Danio rerio: one gene and its partner. The protein of the gene in region 1 interacts with the protein of each later gene in a pairwise test. Links are inferred from orthologs where the notes say so. Each region holds a gene or a part of one and is shown in the gene's direction. Other genes may lie near its edges.

Region 1 (5,434 bases):
ATATATATATATATATATATATATATATATATATATATATATATATATATATATATATATATATATATATATATATATATATATATATATATATATATATATATATATGCCTGGGAGTTCAAATGGTTCGAAAGACCCATTTACCCACAGACAAAGGTGCAGAATATAACCCAATATGAACCAATACAATGCCATCATCAATAGTGAAAATAATCCATCATATAATTGAAGGAACATTTTTACATTTAGGGGCGACGTGGTGGCGCAGTAAGTAGTGCTGTCACTATTTGATGGCATTTGATACTAATTGTTTGTTTTGTAAGCAACACCCTGAGTCCCTAGTTCACTAAATTTGGCAATACAGTTATTATAATTTGCTTTGGAAAGATTTTTCTCTTTTTGTAATTGAGAATGTTGATAAAGACTTTTCCTTACTATGGAAAAATGTTTGGTTTGGTTTTGTTAACTATAAAACAGAAGCTATACATAAAAAGAACATATATTTTCTTAATCTTCTTATCTTATTAACAAAATGTTATATACATAAATGTAAATTTTCAAACCAAAAACATTGTTTTATATTTTGCTTACTGAACTGTTTCTAACTCTTTTACAAAAAAGGCTTTAAAAACAACTGAAATTTGTAAATTATACAAATTTACAAATTTCTTTTTCTTTAATGTGTAATGTATTTATCCCTTCTGTTTGTTTTTGTTTTACTTTTGTTTTTTGTTGTGTTTTTGAGTTGGCATTTCTGTATTTTAGTTAGCATGTTCTCCCAGTGTGGTTTTCTCCGGGCATTGGGCGGATCTAGGGGTGGTATTGTTGATGGACTGACAGATTGATTGACAGACAGACAGACAGACAGACAGACAGACAGACAGACAGACAGACAGACAGACAGACAGACAGACAGACAGATAGATAGATAGATAGATAGATAGATAGATAGATAGATAGATAGATAGATAGATAGATAGATAGATAGATAGATAGATAGATAGATAGATAGATAGATAGATAGATAGATAGATAATTTCTAGTCTTTATATGTATGTTTTTGTTTCTGCTTTATTTGACACCATGCACGTTTGAATAGGGAGATAAACTATATATCCTTCTTTTTAAAATAATATATAACATCATTTTAATGCTGTAAATATTCAGTGAACCTTGACAGACTTGATTGTACTTGTTTATATATTTACATTTTTTATTGTTAGAAATAACAACAGATAGTATTTTTGCTGTTGCTTTTCTTTCATTATTATTATTATTTATAATTATATTTATTAATAATATAATATTATATTATAATTCCCAGTTATTGTTGTTGTTAATAATTAGGAACAATAACAGAAACAGCCATTAAAGGAAAATAATAATAATAATCGTCATATGTATTATTACTATTATTATAATAATTAGGCCTATTATTATTATTTATACAAAACCAATTAAAACATTTGACCATTTATCAAATTATAACTCCTTTGTGGAAACAGACGTGTGTGGGGTGAAACTTTTTTTTATTGTGTTGTTATTTTTTGTGACTTGTTTTCCTCCATATTTCTTGATTGTGTTTTGTTGTGTTGTTTAATGTTGGTCATTTAATCACAAAAAAGGGTTTCCTGTTTCTTTCCTTTCAAGTTGGCCGTCTGTCCGCTTACTTTTACGTCACTTCCGCCGTGTCTCGCTGTGTGCGTTTTTCGTGCAAAGATGGCGTCTGCACAGTTAACGGATGAGGAGCTTGTGTCTGAATTGAAACGGCTCGGCTTCACCCCGGGCCCGGTGACGGAGAGCACGCGGCCCGTGTACTTGAAAAAACTGAAAAAGCTGCGGGAAGAGCAGCCACAACTGCGGGGCTCCCGGAGCGGGAAAGGGCGCAGCAGCAGCGGAACTATCAACAACAACGGCAGCGGCGCTAGCAGCAACAGCAGCTCGGCGGCGCGAGCTCCGGGATTCAGCGCCAGGCCACCGACCAGTGACGTCACGCGCCTGAGCGCCAGCCGGAGCGAAAAGCGCAAAGCCGGAAAGTTCGTGCTGGGCTTTAGCTCGGACGAGTCGGACGTAGAGGCTCCGCAGAAAAAAGGAGGCCCGAATCACGGCGGCAGCAGGAGAGACCGGGGATCCGCACAGCAGACACCCACCATCAGGCCTGCGGGAACACCCGCTGCCGCCGTCTCCCTCGGGCTATCCGCGGACAGGAAAAGCGTTTCTGGCTCTCCGTGGTGGGCAGACCGGGGGAAATCGGGTGATTTAGCGGAAACGGAAAGAGACAGTCGGGCTGTGAATGGGAATAAGGCTTTTTACGAGTCGAACAGTAGTAAGTTAGCCAGGGATTACTCTGATTCCGACGAGGAGGAGGAAGAGGTGGGTGAACGAGACCGTCCGCGCGAACGCCGTCTGACTTCCAGACACAGTCCACCCGCCTCTTCTTCCCCTTACCGGAGCGCCTGGAGCTCGGATAAGACGGCGCTGGGCGCGCATGATACACCAGACTACAACCTAGATATGGTCGGGGAACGGAGGGACGAGGATGACAAGGAACCTAGCGAGTTTAGCGGAAGCTACGTGAGCCGCAGCTACCCGAAACTGTCCGGAACGGGCAGGGATGACAACAGCGGTGGGAGCAGCATCCCGTCTGGTTCTTTCCATAGGAATCACCTCGACAATGGAGACGGCGAATCCGCCTGCAGCAGCCGGTTCAGCATCGGTCTCAGACCACGCTTTCCTTCCTACACCGCGACTTACCGAGCGAACCACTCGAACCACACCGGTTCCAATCACTCCTATAGCCATGCTTCAGCTCACAAGTCCAAGCAGCACACCACGGTCCCGGAGGACGAGCTCCTGCAGCAGTTTAAGCGGGAGGAGGTGTCCTCCACCGGCGGCTTCAGTGCCCACTACTTGTCCATGTTCCTCCTGACAGCCGCCTGCCTGTTCTTCGTGCTGCTGGGCCTCATGTACCTGAGGATGAGGGGCTCCGGCACCGCCGTGGGTGATGCAGTCAGTAAGTATGATGTTGGCATGTACATCAAAACTTGTCAACAAGAAATATTTAGAGCGGTAAAGTCAGGTAAAAAAATTTACATAATGACACATTTAGTTTCAAAGTCATGGGGCTGTCTCTAAACTTAAACTTGGCAGGGTAAATTAATGATGTGCTGTGCTATTGGATGGTATACACATAAATAATAGGAATTATATCATGAATTATCTCATAGTTTAATCAAGGAATAAGTATATTATTCTATTCCACACACAACTATACAATTCTATTGTAGTAACATGCGTGGATGCTTCATACAAAAAAAAAAAAAAAAACAAGAATGAAAAATGGGAATACAGTGGTGCAATTAATGTAGTAATCTGTAATACCATTCTGTTTTGACATTATTATGATATAAGCTGTAATGTACTGAATTCTTTATTGTACTTAAAAGAATACTATGGTAGTATTATTCTGTGATGATAAAAAATAGTTTGAGCCCTCAAATGTGACCATAATTTAAATGGAGAATACCTCACGCACGGATATGTTTTCATCAAGTGTAGATCACTAATGTTGTTTCTTTTTTATATTAGGAGCAACAAGACATTTCATGACTTCCTTTAGATTTCTGTGTGCACTTGTTTAGTATCTGCTAAATATGGTAAAAGGCATATTGTCGTGTAAACCGATGTATTTTGTGAAATGGTGCTAAAAGCTTTAGTTACTAAAAGTTTTTCAGCTCTGACTCAAGTTTGCCCAATCCACACAGCCATCACCCATCACCCCAGACTATTTGCACCTTCTCAGACAGGAAATGGTCTATGTTACCGGTGTTTTATGGGACAGGGAGAGGTATTTGCATTTGAAGTATGTGTGTGCACAGCAGTGCTAAATGTTATGTCAGACCTGGGATTTCAGATAGCTAATCAAATCTGTGATAAATCAGTCAAATAATTTATCTTTCAAAATAATATATATTTTTTTGTGATAAAACAGAGCCTTCTCTATAAATTTCTATTAATCTATCCTCTGGTTTGGTTCGAGATTGTGCTAAATGAATGTGTTTTTATTATGATCTGAATATTTAATTGGATAAATATAACATCTTCTTAAATTCTTATTTTAAAAATCAATCAATTATTAATTGGACTGACGTTTTTCCAAAAAAAAAAAAAAAATGAATTTAAAAGTAAAATATTTGAATGGGTGTTTGAAAGGTCATAAATGAATTCCTGAAAAGTCTGAGGACCCTCTGGATGTCTGTTATTTGAGTATAATCATGGCCAGTCCCCACGTTTGGACATGTTGGCATCCTTTCTGGTCATAATATGATAGCCAGCATTAATCTTTTGATACATTTTCCCAGATGAGAGAAACTGTTCTTGGATGTGCGTTCAGTGGCACTCAGTTTTAATAGCTTGAGTACCATCAGAGTAAAGTGCTCTGGAGGCAGTGACGGCTCTTGAGAGGAAGCCGACTGATGAATTACTATGTATATCTGTGGCATGGCTGCTCGCTCAGGGAGGGAGCTTTGACTGGAGATCGCGCTGCAGACATCTAGGTCACAGACAAGCTAAAGCGGCCTAATTGTCTGTCTCTGGGGACTCTGGGAGCTCGCGGCCAACTAGAGTGACTGACTTCTCTCTGGCCGGATGAATGTCTGATTCTCACTTTGAGAGCGATTATATATGAGTTTGCACTTTCCATGGGTTGTAGTTTGCAGCTTTATTGTGCACAACACATGTGCAGCATTCATTTTTTTGCAACCATGATGTCAATAATGTAATGCAAATAACTTGATCTTCCAGTATGTCCAGTTTGAGTCACTGTCAGCTATTTTTAACATCCTGATTATTTTATTTAGCGGATGTAAGGTATTTTAACACACCGAGAAAAATATATATGTTTTGCAATTATAACTTAATTTCGCATATTGGCTGCTGTAATGTGACAATACTGCTTAAATTAAAACATTTATCATTGTGTGTTGTTTAGATATGCCACTTTTTACAATATGGTAGTATTCTCAACTTTAATCTGATTCTGAATATTGGGGGTTCAAATATGATGTTTTATTTTATTAAAAGCAAATAGAAATTAAAAAATTCCTCCTGGAGAGATGAGACTTTTTATCAACGTTTACATTTTCAACAAGTGGCAGTAGGAGTGGGATGCATTGAAAAATAATACATTGTATGAAATACCATCTGAAATCTTAAACAGAATTTTAAGACTAGATTTGATCAAGTGATTATTTACCAGATGTCATATTTGACACACAAGAATAATAATTTTTAATCAAAGGTAAAGAGCCTACCTAATGTTTGTACTGCACAATTCCTTCTACAGTAAAACACATTTTACTGCACTGTCCTGCTTTTAATGCTTCCAGAAGACTTTTTATTATTTTTTTTAAATGAAATGAACTTTAATTTTTAG
Region 2 (5,547 bases), on another chromosome or scaffold:
CCAGTAAACGTAAAGCCTCGTCAGTAATGTACATAATCCTGTGTGCACCTTGATTGAACAGGATCGTTTTGCGGTGTGCTTTTATTGAAGGCAGATTCCCCCCTGCCAGACTTATTTGATCAAAGAGAGCTCTAAATATGCGAGCTGTCATTATTGGGAGTATTGTTACGTTCCCCTGCAGTTGTTGTAAACTGTGAAAATGTCAAACTTCTAGACTCTCTGTCGCCATCCTGGCTTGCGTCATTAACTGGACAAGTCACTGTACGCACACAATCGAAGTGTATCCATCCGCGCAGAGGAGGGCGAGGAAAAATAGGGCTATCGATAAACAGCTTGGCGCTCCGCCAATCTGGCAACCCGTCTGTTTTGCGTTAACAATGCGAATTTATGATTTACACGAAAGTCTGCAAGCATACAACAGATATATTTTCACTAAATAGCTGTTTTAAACTATTTATGAGATTAATTGAATGTAACTATTTTAATATTAGGCTTCACAGTTCCATGTTGAAACAGGTCGATGCTCCCTATTAATAAGTTAATAAGGCTTGAGCCTCTCAATGGAATCCAAAACAAATACTAATTTTGACAATATATAGGAATACGAGAATATATAGTGCTCAGACAGCTTCTCATTCTGTCAGACAGTATTTTCACTTTAGGTTTTCAAAAAGCTCACAAACAACTCAGAAGTTTACTACTAAAATTTTAGTGGGAAGCCGCTCACGTGATTAATGTTGTTCCGCTTCAGCATCCTCCTCCGATGATTCACTGACTAAACGTCACACTATTTATGACCTTTTGTCTAATAAATAACAAACATGACAAAGTCATTTGAAAAATTGATCGTAGTAGTTTTGCGTTTGTATTTTAAAGGGGTAAGTTAGGTCGCCCCCAAAAAAGATCATTTCGGACGTCGATGGCTGTTTTCTTCAAAATATCTTTCGTGTTCCACAGAAGAAACTATTTGAAAAATGTGGGAGTGTTAATATATATATATATATATATATATATATATATATATATATATATATATATATATATATATATATATATATATGTGTGTGTGTGTGTGTGTGTGTGTGTGTGTGTGTGTGTGTGTGTGTGTGTGTGTGTGTGTGTGTGTGTGTGTGTGTGTGTGTGTGTGTGTGTATAAAACTAAATAAGCGCTATATATGTGCTAAAATATCACAATGGAACCAGATAACGTTCTGTAAAAAAAGTAAAGTTATAACAATAAAACGACTTTTTCTTGTACCATATTAAGCGTTAAATTAATTAAAATTAACAACATGCGTGCAGTTTTGTTAGTTTGTTGATGTCTTAAAGGAATTGTTCACTCTAAAAAATAAAAAAGATCACTTTATTCATCAACTTGTTCCAAACTAGATTGAGTTTCTTCTGTTGAAAAGAAAAATAAATATTTCACAGAATGTTGTAGTCATTGATTTCCATAGCATATTTGTTTTTCCTACTATGGGAATCAATGGTTACAGGTTTTCAACATTCTTCAAAGTATCTTTTTTTTGCGTATGACCAAAAAATGCCAAAAGTTTAGAAAAACAGTAAATAGTGAATAGTTTTTACTTTTTATGGTGAACTATTACTTTTAAAATGTAATCAAATAATTAGTCTCGTTGTTTTTCTGTTTATTATTTCAATAGTTCAAACCTAGGTTTAGAGGACATTTTAAAAGTGGGGGACAGCTGAATGAGATCTAAAAGTTTACGTTCATATTTATTAATCACCTGTTTCTAAATGGACTGGCTGAGTGATTGGGACGTATTCCACCCACCCCATACGCTCCCCAGTATCCAGCCACAAAATGTAGTTGTGTTACCTTACCAACATTTCGCTGCTGGAGCGTTTTCAACCACATAAGTAAGTTTAGACAAAATAATAATAACAAACACTATTGTGTTCAATTTCAAAGAATATTTCATTTGAACGTATAATCTAACAATGTCGTGAAAATCTAACCACTTTCACTTTGCAGCTTTTTCCAAAAGGCGCATCACTTCCTGTGACAGGGACAACATCTGTCCGCGCCTTAAATCAAATTAAAAGTGAAACACCGCTGCCCACAGTGTGTGACCTGTGTTTCTCTGAGAGGAGCTACTCTTTTGAATGGGATGATCCCAGTGTTTGTGTGTGTGTCTGTCTGCCGTCCTGGGAGAGATCCAGGAGCAGCGGATGAATCCAGCACGCAGGCGCTGAGGCTCCAGTCAGACTGACGCCGCTGCATCCAAACACACGCGCCCGCTGAACACCTCCAGTCGGCGCGGGACCCAGCGCTCGGCGGCGCGGAGCTATTATTCGACCCGGCACGCTGAGGTAAGGGATAAAACGCGTTTTATGTACCACTATTAATGTTGTTTTGTACTTAAAACTTAAATGCCAGAGTTTGATAAGATGACAAAACACATGTAGCCTACTTTAAACTCGTTTAGATATAATTTATAAGATATTTTATAAAGTTACTTAACGTTACTTATTTGAAGTACAACGGACGTTACTTAACTTATTTTAAGTCATTGCACCGGGAGGCAGCGTAAACGTAAATTGTATGTTTTGTTTTGTTTGTTTGTTTATTATGCCTCTCTGTTTAATGATGCTCATCCACTCTAAAGACTCGTGACAGTTGTGTACACCTGGATTAGTGTTGCCAACTATTACATTTGAACCTTTCTTAAAGGAAAAAAAAAAAAACACCGGTCAGTGGATGGAAAGGATGTGTAAGCGCGTTTGCGGGGGAGTTTAGGTGATTAAGCCTATCTCAGCACTCAGACTTCCAGACGCCAGTTTCATAAGGACACACTGCCTTTGAGAACAGCAGATGTGGGCTGTTCACCCTACAATGATCTGCCTGAGCCGTGGTTAAAACTCAAGTGTGTTTTTATACACTGATATGAGTCGTATACAGGTGACCGCAAGGAACACAAAAACAGTCAATGGTCAGTTTTTGGAAATTAAGATTTATACATAACATGAAAACTGCATAAATACATTTTCATTAATGTATGGGTTGTTAAGAGAACAATATTTAGCAGAGAAACAGCAATTTGGAAATGTTGAATCTGAGGGTTTAAACTTCATAAATGTTCACAAAATTGGATGTAAATCAATCAGCTGTGCACATTCCTAAACAAAAAACAAGTTGTGATATATTTACAGTAGGATATTTACAAAATGTCTTCATGGAACATGATCTGTACTTGATAGTCATTTGATTTTTGGCATAAAATAAAAATGTAAAGTTTTTACTATTCCCACCTACAAGTATACTCGTGCAACATCAGACTGGTTTTGTGGTCCAGGGTCACATATGATTATTTGATTCGGCTATAGGGGCGTAAACACCTCTGGTATCACATGCAGTAATGTTTTCAGAAGGTATTATTTGCCTGCTCGGGTTAAAGATGGACTCGAGCATCTCTGGTTTCAAGTGCTCAAACGACATTGATTTTTGGCAGATCGTTTTCGGCATCAGAAAAGCTTGTTCAGGAAAGGGAGAGGTGAGATGGGCAATGATGAGAAACACTGTTTAGACCTGTTGATGACAACAATAACTCAGCAGTTATTCAGAGGTCTGCACTGAGGAAATAAATGCTGTTTTTGTTTAGTTGTGCTCTATATCAGAGATGTGCAATCTAGGGCCCGCAGGTCAAAGTTGGCCCATACCATTACCTTTGATTTGTCCCATTTGAGACGTGAGGGAGAATGATGGGGAGGTGGTTGGGGTTGACAGAAATTGTCATTTCGAATATAATGTAACCTTTTGTTAGTTTTGTTTTGCATATGAACCTGATCTTTAAAAATGTAAATACTGATGCTTAACTGATAGAGGGCAATACACAAGACATCGGCGAGCAAATCAAAGCAAAAGCAGGTGCAGCTTATGTATTCAACATTGAACTCCGTTGTGGTATGGGATTGTTTACTACATACTGCATTAGTTCATATAATTTAAAGCAATATTTTGTGGTTATTTTCAAATACTAGTAATACATTAGAATAGCACTCATGCAATATTTAATGTAACAGTTTGGTATATTTACTTTCGGCCCACAGCCCTTGGTCAAGTTTGGTTTTTGGCCCCTCATAAGAAAAAGTTTTGGCACCCCTACTCTAAAGAGTGAATCTTTCAAAAATGTACACCATATTTACCTAATAAAATATAATTTTACCTTTATTATATTATAATATATTATTATGTTTGTTATGCATATAATGTATAAATATAATACATTTATTTTGCTCAGTTTTTAAAAAGTTCTTTGTCATTTTTTCATGATAGTAAAACATTATTTTTTGTTTATGTTAAATATATAAATTTATGATTTACTAAAGACATAATTGTTATTTGAAATTCTGTTAAAATAAATAAAATATTATTTTAATTATATTTAAAAAAATACATTTACTCAAATGCAAACTGCATTTACTTAAAATATTTTATTTAAAAATAATAATTTAGTTAATTTTATATTTAAAATTATTTATCATGATATTTATTAATCTCTAAAATGATATAATAATAACAACAATTATTTCAATTAAAAGACTTAAGATTCTTCTATTTATTTCTATTTCAGTTTGTATAAATTTATGTTCTTATTAATATTTGAAAAATATAATCACCAATTTATATTTTTAAAATTAACATTTTTAATTATATATATATATATATACATATATGTATATATGTATGTATATATATATATGTATGTATGTATGTATGTATGTATGTATGTATGTATGTATATGTATATATATTTATATATATGTATATATATATATATATATATATATATATATATGTATATATGTATATATGTATATATGTATATATGTATATATATATATATATATATATATATATATATATATGTATATATATATATATATATATATATATATGTATATAAATATATATATATATATATATATGTATATATATATATATATATATATATATATATATATATATATATATATATACACACACACAAGAAAATGAATGAATATATATATATATATATATTCATTCATTTTCTTGTCGGCTTAGTCCCTTTATTAATCCAGGGTCGCCACAACGGAATGAACAGCCAACTTATCCAACAAGTTTTTACGCAGCGGATGCCCTTCCAGCCGCAACCCATCTCTGGGAAACATCCACACACACATTCACACACACACTCATACACTATGGACATTTTAGCCTACCCAATTCACCTCTACCGCATGTCTTTGGACTGTGGGGGAAACCGGAGCACCCGGAGGAAACCCACGCGAAGGCAGGGAGAACATGCAAACTCCACACAGAAACGCCAACTGAGCCGAGGCTCAAACCAGCGACCTTCTTGGTGTGAGGCACAGCACTACCTACTGCGCCACTGCCACGCCCTATATACGTCAGAATTAATAGCCCCTCTTTAATTCTTAGATTTTTTTTTTCCTTTTTTAAATATTTCCCAAATGATGTTGAACAGAGCAAGGAAATGTTTACATATGTCTGATAATATTTGTTTCTTCTAGAGAAAGTCT

The links.
Region 2: the proteins of lemd3 (region 1) and smad9 interact in binary tests that used the Homo sapiens proteins (3 or more experiments, as listed by UniProt). The link is inferred for Danio rerio from reciprocal best matches to the Homo sapiens genes LEMD3 and SMAD9.

The regions. Positions count from the first base shown.
Region 1 is NC_133179.1:13,501,717-13,507,150, reverse strand, and holds the start of lemd3 (inner nuclear membrane protein Man1), read left to right. Parts: upstream 1-1,712; 5' UTR 1,713-1,719; coding exon 1,720-3,013; intron 3,014-5,434.
Region 2 is NC_133185.1:39,992,881-39,998,427, reverse strand, and holds the start of smad9 (mothers against decapentaplegic homolog 9), read left to right. Parts: upstream 1-1,996; 5' UTR 1,997-2,334; intron 2,335-5,547. UniProt on the Homo sapiens protein: Transcriptional modulator activated by BMP (bone morphogenetic proteins) type 1 receptor kinase. SMAD9 is a receptor-regulated SMAD (R-SMAD).